Daphnia pulex: one gene and its partners. The main gene of each other region encodes a partner of the protein of the gene in region 2 in a complex. Links are inferred from orthologs where the notes say so. Each region holds a gene or a part of one and is shown on either strand. Other genes may lie near its edges.

Region 1 (3,764 bases), on a different chromosome or scaffold from region 2:
TTGACTGTGCCTCCTCTCAAATTGAGCGTATGCAAAACGCGCTGCTTGATGGTTGCGGCTCCTGAGGCGCAAACTTCCATCATAATGTAGTCCACCAGCTGAAGCGTGAACAATCCACCTTCCAGACGTTTAAGGTACATTTCGTCCTCGTCCTCTTCGTCGTCGTTCCGCTGGAGTTGAGCGTCAATCACGCGTAATTTGTCGAAGTATTTGAAGTGCAACTCCATCAGTCGATCGGTTTTTTCGTGGTCGTTTTCTGTAAACTTCGTCAGAAGTCTGGTGCGCTGTGATCCTCGGCACGACTTTAGCATACTTGCAATCACCGAGACTATATGTTCTAAAAAAACGATTTACACGGGTCACGTTTTATAAATTTGTGATGCACATCAGTATTTGCACTATATTTTATATTTACCTTCATACTCTTCTGCTGACATCCCCTTTCTCTTCAGTTTATGCGGCGTTTTCATGAATAGCGGAAAAATAGTCCTTAAGCCGAGGATGTCCACAAATTTGGTGCAATTATCTTTACCGGCCTCACCACTAAGTGCGTGATTCAAAACCTTTAACGCGCCATTTCTGGACATTTTTTTCTCTCTGTAAAGAAAGTGGGGAAAAAAACGGGTCAGGCTTCAAGATCAACAATATGAATGGTAGCAAGCCGGATCGTGGGAATTTCAACAATACCGCAACATGAGGTTCATAAGTTGCAAGCCCTCTCCCTTCAGAAATCTGTCGCGGTTGGGAACGTGAATCAGACTGGAACAAACACAATCGAACAAATTCTCCATCATTTCTTGTTCTTCTCCTGTTTTGGGATCTTGCCGCTTGAAAATCTGCGAGAAAATAATTAAAAAAATGACTTGCACTTTTACACAAATGAAAAATGAATGAAGAAAAACGTTTTCTTACGGCTAACTGTTGAAGCAAAATATCAATTCCGTCAATTTCACCCAGAAGTTGCCGATTTTCTGGTGTGCCTTGAAGCAAAATGGACAATATTTCACTGCAATATAGTTTGTTGGCGTCGAATGGTAATTTAGCTCTTAGCCGCTTCATTATCCAACTCAGCAACCCCTGTTGGGCTGCTTGTTGACACACTTCAGGCCTAATTTCCGTTAAGTTTTCCACAATGGCTGAAAGAACAAATTATTTTGTGAACAAAAACTGGGTACTTATGAATTATAGAAACATAAATGATCGTCTATACCTAGTGTATTGTGAACTCCGTCAGATTCTTCTGTTTGAGCTTCGTTTAGTCTTTCCAGGTTGTGGACTAGGAGGGCACAGATTTGCTGGTCCAGGAGTGCATCAATTAGAATTGCAGCTTCATCTTGACTTTCATTCAGAGTATCAATGTCAGTCAATTCTTGAAGCAAATTGACCACAGCGACAGAAATGTCTGCATTGTCATGTGACAATAGACCTAGCAATGTTGGTATAAGCTTTTGTTCAACACCTACTGTGTATAGTTCAGGAGCTGTTGCAAGTGCATGCATCAGTTGAATTGCTTCATGCAATTCCAATTCTGATTCCATAAACCTAAAAGATAAAATAAAAACTATTATGAAGAATGATGACAAAACAAGCAGAGGATAGGAATCATACTTCTCTGGCGCATCTGGAAATTTAACACGTAGTTCTTGATTTTTCAGAACCCGCTTTTCAAAATTTAGAATCATTCTCTTTAGGGAGGCTTCATCAAGGCTTTCAGAACCTTCATCTTGCTCTACCAATTTGAGCAATTCTTCTTTTTCTGGAGTTTCAACAACTGGGGGAGCAATATATGTGGCTGTTGATCTTGGGTTTGGCTTTACATTACTGGTTGGAAACTGTTTAAGTTTCTTTCCGGGACGTTCAAACTCTGGCTCTTTATCATCATCTGCAACATCTCGTTTGGGGTTTTGTTTTGGCTGTAACAAGAAAGTAGTGATTAATCATAATAAAACAAATGAAAGCTTTCAAAATAATCCAACAAATGCCATTGCAATATATGCTCCATGCAATCCCATAACATCCAATGCTTCTGTTTCCCCTTAATGGACTTATAGCTAAAGAAGTGTTAATACAAACTGATTTACACACCTTAAAAGATAAAAGTTCACCGACATCCATTGCAGATATTCGATTAAATTAAATAATGAACCAGCATAAACAAAATTTGAAGAGATCTTTTGGAACTTTCAACTTTTTAAAAAACACGATGTGTCAAACATGAAAATAGAGTCATCTACCGTTAGGAATATCAGAATAAAAACGCCATCTGGCCATAAGTAATGAAACTCGATGGGTCGATTTTATGATTAGTGTTGTCTGCTTTCGTTTTGTTTGAAAGTTTCGAAAAAGAAAAAGAGACAAAGATTTTTGGGGGGAAACGTTACGTTGCTGCACGAAAAATAGCACTAAAAATTAAAAACAAAAATGTGATTGCCGTGTCAACTCTGGTCGCCGGTCGCGTGTCTTTATAGAATCGCTTAATGCACATACACATGCTGCTTTAGCAGGTAAAAAAACCCCATAAATTCAAATAGAATGACTGACTAGCATGTATCATGTAATAAGGGGCTTACATGATAAGTGTTGCTATTGCATGTGTGTTTGTGAGCACTATGTAACATTCTCATCTTTGTGCAGATTTGAGGCCAGAGCCAACCATCAAACCACAACATATGCAAGTTTTGCTTGTGCCAGTATTCACAGTGTCATCAGCAACAATCTTAGTATCATCACTCAGGTAATGATTTTCGTTACTTTTATTAACCTGTTAGATGTTTTAAATAGCCATCACTTGCAGAGTGTTACAGGGAATTCTTACATTCTCTTGTCCATTAATAAATAGGATTCATCTGCTGTCTTGTTTTCTATTTATCACTAATTGTTTCTGTAAATATTTTTCGTAACTCATATTTCATATTTGATTTTTATTTAGATAGGATTTATAGCATCCCGTTTGATTGGAGAGACTATCACCGATGTCGACCGAATTTCTTCCCCTTTCTTGGAATGTCCTCTTTACACCCATGTGAACGTGGACTTAAAGGCTTTAAGGTAGAAAAACATTTATCTAAATTCTTCCTTTTTGACTGTTACTTGGCGTTGATTATAAATTTTTGAGTACGATTATTCCTGAGCTATGCGGTTGACCGGAACGGTTTTCTCTTGCCGTTTTTGTTTACTCGGTCAGGGTTTGAAAAAGTGGTTGCTCATTTGTAGAACGGCTGCAGTTCAGGCCCTGTTTTGTACCTCACAACTTTGTCTATAGGTAAAAAGTCCAATTCAAAAATATTTCAACTTCAAACACTTAAAGCAAAGTGCAACTAGAAAAATTTTATGACGAAAGAGGGTCCTTGGTCGCCACACTGGCACTCGTTCTTAAAATATTCCCTCGGTTAACCCTCGTTTTCAATTAGAGAAATTTTTAAGAAAGTTTTTATAAATGGTGTTATACCAAGAGGAATAAGTTTTCCGGTGTCGTTTGTGGTTTTAGGGTAAAATTCATATTTAAATGGAATAATAATAGGAGGCTATTTAATATCACACCGTATTAAAAATGCCTGAAGGAATTGAAACTTGAAAAAGTAATGATTCTAAGCTACGAATGATATTTCTCGAGAAACCGACGACAAATCATCACATGAGCAATTAAAAGGGTTCATTTTTACGACGCACTTTCCAGCTGTGGAGAGTAATAACCAGCGACTATTCATCTAGAAAGCTTTTAAACAGTCGCCTTTTCCTTTCCCATGTGCAAGCCTACAGTAGAA
Region 2 (2,869 bases):
TATGGTAATAAATGTGGACCCTCTTTTTTTTCTGAAACATTGCCGTTTATCAACCTTATTCGATCAGGATCTAAAATAACAGACGGTGAGATCTCATTTCTCTTTATTTTTAAATATCTTATTATTATTCATTTAATTAAATTGATACAGGGTTAAAATCAACATCAGGCCAGCTTAATTACCACCAGTTTCAAGTTAGTCAATCCACTGATTTTTCAGCAAATGTAGTGGACTCCGTAAACTCGAATGGTAAAAAGGATCGGGACGAGGACGCTGATATCATCATCGAAGATTATGACGACTAGAGTCGTCACGTCGCGATAATAAAGAGATCGAGGTTTTTTTTTATTGTAATGTCAACAATTTCTAATATTTAGAATTATAAAATTCTATTTGATGAACAAAGAGGAATAAATAATTTAAAAATATTTTCTTATATTGTAAGTATGCCAATGAATGAATAAGAAAACTTTTTAAAGGAAAAATTGGTATACTGAATTAAAGTGTCTTTAGTCCTTTACAGACGATTAACGAATCAGCCACAAAAAAAAATTTTACAAATAAACTTAGTAATTAAGACAGGAAATGTATTTAATCAAATGCATGGAACATAAAAAATTATTTAATATACTTGTCCATGAATTTCTTATGAAATTCAGACCGAAGTGAATCATTAATAAAAGTGATTTCTTTCCTTTCCGGCTCAGCACGGGAACAATTTTTGAAGACAACATCGTCATCCCATCGTCGTTTGACACGCAAGTCAGATTTCTGAGGTTTCCCAGCGTAATTTAACAATGGATTTCCGCTTAAAATATTTTCCATTCTGATACGTTCCTCTTCTTGTCTCTGTTCCATTTCCTGAAAAACAAGCAATTTGTGTATTTGACAAACAAGAGCATCTAAGTCAATGATAATACCTTTTTGGCCAATTCAGATGCTCGTTCACCCTTTATTCTCTGAAGCTCTGCCATTAATTCAGCAGTGTCATCTTCATCTTCTTCATCAACACTGTCATCACTTTCGTCTTCAATGGGATCATCTGCATCCAAGCTACTAGGATCAACACGTAATTTCTTCCTGCAAAGTGTTAACACATTCTTTAATCCCATAACTGAAATAGTTTGTAGAGATAGGGAAAAAAAGTTAAATGTTTTTCAGACTTACTGGGAAGATACTGACGAAGCTGATTTAACAGCCCTATCTCTGTCTTTGCGATCTCCTTTTTCCTTATGAGATTTTTCCCGTTCTTCTAGATCTCTTTTTAGATCCTTGTTGCGAATTTCCTCTGATGATCCCTGACCAATATCCCTATCAAAAGAAATAAAATTAGAATGTCAGAATTTTTGAATTAAATTTAAATTTTACCTGTATTTTAGTTTAGTATGTGATGCAAGATCTCGACTCGAATATTGCTTACTCATAGAACTGAGAGACGTTTCTCCCCTGCCTTGTCCTCCAGTAGCAGGGGCAAATGTTGGTCGCGAAGCAGTTGTCATTTTCTAACGATTTTTCAATTACTGTGGAAAATGCTACTTGTACTTGGCTTTGATGAAAGAGTTGCTCTGTTGTATCCGACTCTTGAAAACCTCCAAAGTTACTAAACGCTTTTCCCCCAACACAATTAAAATCAACTAATCAAGGACACACGACAGAAGTTGGATTCTTACTCGAGAATCTCGAGTCGAGATGCAACTCATGCAAGAAGCAGAAGAAGCAGGTTGATAGTTCTTCGTTTTCAATGTGGTGTCGCTAGTGTCGATTTTTATGCTCCTCCCCCGATTTGATCAGAAAACCCGCGAAATTTTGTTAATTAAAAAAAGTACGAAATAGGTTACTTTGTTTCACCTCACATAACTGGTTTCCTACATTTCCACACACGATTTATGTTACGCAATTACAGTACATTAAAGGAATACATATGTTTGTGGTTTATTTTTAATAACCAATAAAAAAATCGACTGTGTGAATGTGTTGACAATGAAAGTTCTAGATTTTCAATCACTACTAAAACAAATTTAGATTGATAAAACAACAAACCATAGTAGTGCGCATCGTCTTGCACCTTCCCTTTTCTACATTATTATTTTATCAACGGGAATGTCAAGAAGTGGTACCACATTTATAGGATGCATCCACATTAATCGTTCTCCGACAATTTCACTAATATTTGAGCGCGCCAGCGGTTGTAGACGAACTATTTGTTCAACTGTTTTCCCAGTTTTCATCAAATATTTCACTAAATCGAATTATCCAAGGAATTATCGATCAGAACGGTGTGGAAAAGAGTAATTTCCAGTATCATTTTGATGATTAATGATGGTCTGGGGTGAACAACTACTGAAAACGTCATTTCTTTTGTATCGACTATCGACCACACAAACATTTGGGGTACTAGGTAATGAACTACCTCGTGAACTACTTAGTAGGCTTTCTTTTTCCGGATCAGATCTAGTCAGGAGGCAGTTAGAATTACAACGAGAACTGTCAGGTTGTAACTCAATAGGTGAAAACCCGTTCGTCAAATTTACAGACTAAAATGCAATTTAAAAAAAAAATTGGGTTAGTCACAATATTTATCATCTACATAAAAGTAATTCAGTTGCAGGAATCCCATACCGTATCAGAATCTTCTCTGCTAGACATGAAAGCAGATTCGCATTCCGTCATTCGTGGCACAACTTCACGCTGTACCCGCTCTAGGACGGTAGCACTTCTGACTGCTTGGTACAGGGATCGGCTCATGTGAAAATACACTAGATCACTGACCGCACGAACAGTATAATCAACAACAAACGCCTGTCCACGTGCAGCTTTGCTTCCATTATCGCCAATGTCGAATTCATCGATGATTGGAGAGTGAATTGAT
Region 3 (2,420 bases), on a different chromosome or scaffold from region 2:
ACATCTTATGCACTGGCAACAAGTGGGGCTTTAGTCACTGCTCTTGGTTTGAATAGCTTGACCAAGGTATCAAAAATATTAACTTGATATAATGGACCATAATGTAAATAACTTTATGAGAAATTAATTTTTAGTCAATGTCTCCTATTATTGGGCGTTTGGTACCCTTTGCAGCTGTTGCTGCCGCTAACTGTGTAAATATTCCTCTGATGCGAATGCAGTAAGATAAACATTTTCTCGTCGCATAAGATAACTAATGCTTTAAAATACGACTGATTTTTTAGTGAAATTCAAAAGGGAATCTCAGTTTCTGATGAGAACGGAAATGTACTCGGTGAATCTTCGATTGCTGCCAAATGGGGTATCACTCAAGTTGTCCTTAGTCGTATCGGAATGGCTTCTCCTGGAATGGGTAATTCATGTAATACGATAGTAATCTGATAAAAATAAAACATCCAGCACAATAATATGCAGTCCTACCACCTCTGCTGATGAATTATTTGGATCGAAAGGGCTTCTTGAAGCGATTCCCTTGGTCTGCGGCACCTATTCAAGTTACTTTATGTATGAAACATTAACTATTTATCATGTAGTTGTAAACGGCCAATTATGTATTATTATTTGGCTTACAGGTGGCGTATTACTTACTTTCGCTACTCCAATGTGTTGTGCCCTGTTTCCTCAAAAAGCATCGATTTCGGTTGACAGTCTGGAACCAGAGCTACAGGTAATTTTTTATAGCGTTTTAATGTGGTTCTTGTTTTAACATACATCTTTTCTTTTTTAATTCAGGCAAAGATTCGAAAATCCCCGAATCCCCCAACTGTTGTTTATTACAACAAGGGCCTGTAAATTTGAGTCAATCACTGAATTACTGTGGACGAGTGCAAATATCTCAGTACAAGTTTCTTAGATCAACTAGAAAATGAAAAAAACAACAGAAAAACACATTTAATTAAAGTAACTTCCACAGTTTATTTTTTTTTGCTCAAAGTATATTGGTGTAGTTTCCATTCCAGTTGAGGTAATTGGTAGTCATTTTGCTATAGAAATAAACTGCTAAAAAATATTTTCTTACAGAATTGTAGCTGCTAATTTATACAATTAATTGAAGATCGTAATTTTTTTCCTGTTTTAATAAGGCAAAAAAGCCACAAGCTGTATAAAAAATTCCTTAGCGCGCCAGCGCCCAGCCGCCAGGTCTCGTCGCCGGTCTCGCAAAGCCGCCAGTTTCTAAATTCAATATCTGGCAAACACGCGTTCCTAACGTTTGGCATCGCGCATCGGACATTAAAAACGATCCAAACTTTCTTGGTGTATCACGTTTTTTCCTAGTTGCTTGAAGTTAGTGATATATTCATCAACGTAGATATTAGATATTAGTTATTTCAAACCAAAATGAGCAAGGCCCATCCACCAGAGTTGAAGAAGTATGTATTGTTGCTTAAGTTATATTTACATTTTTAATAATGATCTCTACTTCTTTTGTACAGGTACATGGATAAAAGAATGTCTTGTAAGTATTATTTTTTTGTTAAATTATTATTGAAAACTGTTTTGAAGAATTGTTTTTCACAGTGAAACTGAATGGTGGTAGGAACATTGTTGGGATCTTGAGAGGTTTTGATCCATTCATGAACTTGGTCATTGATGAAACCGTTGAAGAAGTTAAAGATGGTTCGAAAAATAACATAGGGATGGTGGTATGTTTAAAATTAACATGGCATACATAAATTCAAATACCATTAACTATTTATATGTAAATTTAGGTTGTTCGTGGAAACTCAATTATAATGTTGGAAGCACTGGAAAGAATCATGTAGCCTAACTGCTGAAAAATAAATGTCATCCAAATTGTAAATTATTTAAAACATTCCACTTTATTACTCTTTTCTTAGCCATCTTAGCATTGGGTTGAGAGGAATTAAGAATGAAAAGGTTACAAATAAACTGAAAATTAAGGAGTGTTGCAAATAAAACACCATTAGAAGAAATATAATGGCTGGAAATTAATGTTAAATTAAAATTAATAGTAAAAAAATAATGAGAATTCTAAAACAATTTTTCGGTAATGAAAGATTTCATTTATTGACGCTAATTAAACAAATTAAGCTTGATCACGTCAATCACGATGAGAGATTGTGCATGTAATATTATTACCTTATTTATATTATGTGGTATATATAAATAACATAATTCAGCGCCACTGCCAGAAGGTTAGATAGTTGTTGAGCTCGGAATTGTTGAACGCCATCTATGCTCTCCAGACGATACACAAGGGTGGGGCCTATATTCTGATAGACGAAAAATTAACATGAGAGTGACTAGGTCTGGGCAGAGCAATAGATGCCTGGTCGGTTCTCGGCTGTGTTGGCTTCCCTATCCCGGTTTTAGGGTAAACGACTAAACGTATCCCCGAT

The links.
Region 1: spliceosome-associated protein CWC15 homolog (region 2) and beta-catenin-like protein 1 share a complex: the UniProt entries of both Homo sapiens proteins name them as parts of the PRP19-CDC5L splicing complex. The link is inferred for Daphnia pulex from reciprocal best matches to the Homo sapiens genes CWC15 and CTNNBL1.
Region 3: spliceosome-associated protein CWC15 homolog (region 2) and probable small nuclear ribonucleoprotein G share a complex: the UniProt entries of both Homo sapiens proteins name them as parts of the minor spliceosome. The link is inferred for Daphnia pulex from reciprocal best matches to the Homo sapiens genes CWC15 and SNRPG.

What each region holds. Positions count from the first base shown.
Region 1 is NC_060022.1:2,352,477-2,356,240, forward strand, and holds the start of beta-catenin-like protein 1, read right to left. Parts: upstream 2,254-3,764; 5' UTR 2,116-2,253; coding exon 2,086-2,115; intron 1,914-2,085; coding exon 1,609-1,913; intron 1,543-1,608; coding exon 1,211-1,542; intron 1,137-1,210; coding exon 913-1,136; intron 837-912; coding exon 688-836; intron 598-687; coding exon 416-597; intron 338-415; coding exon 1-337. UniProt on the Homo sapiens protein: Component of the PRP19-CDC5L complex that forms an integral part of the spliceosome and is required for activating pre-mRNA splicing.
Region 2 is NC_060025.1:5,440,411-5,443,279, reverse strand, and holds spliceosome-associated protein CWC15 homolog, read right to left. Parts: upstream 1,736-2,869; 5' UTR 1,500-1,735; coding exon 1,369-1,499; intron 1,312-1,368; coding exon 1,168-1,311; intron 1,081-1,167; coding exon 921-1,080; intron 862-920; coding exon 619-861; 3' UTR 571-618; downstream 1-570. Other genes in the region: cell cycle checkpoint protein RAD17-like, read left to right, coding at 1-85, 151-305; unextended protein-like, read right to left, coding at 2,262-2,534, 2,620-2,869. UniProt on the Homo sapiens protein: Involved in pre-mRNA splicing as component of the spliceosome. Component of the PRP19-CDC5L complex that forms an integral part of the spliceosome and is required for activating pre-mRNA splicing.
Region 3 is NC_060026.1:11,525,867-11,528,286, reverse strand, and holds probable small nuclear ribonucleoprotein G, read left to right. Parts: upstream 1-1,240; 5' UTR 1,241-1,398; coding exon 1,399-1,430; intron 1,431-1,493; coding exon 1,494-1,516; intron 1,517-1,578; coding exon 1,579-1,703; intron 1,704-1,769; coding exon 1,770-1,823; 3' UTR 1,824-1,861; downstream 1,862-2,420. Other genes in the region: sideroflexin-1-like, read left to right, coding at 1-66, 135-220, 285-412, 475-564, 633-727, 793-852. UniProt on the Homo sapiens protein: Plays a role in pre-mRNA splicing as a core component of the spliceosomal U1, U2, U4 and U5 small nuclear ribonucleoproteins (snRNPs), the building blocks of the spliceosome.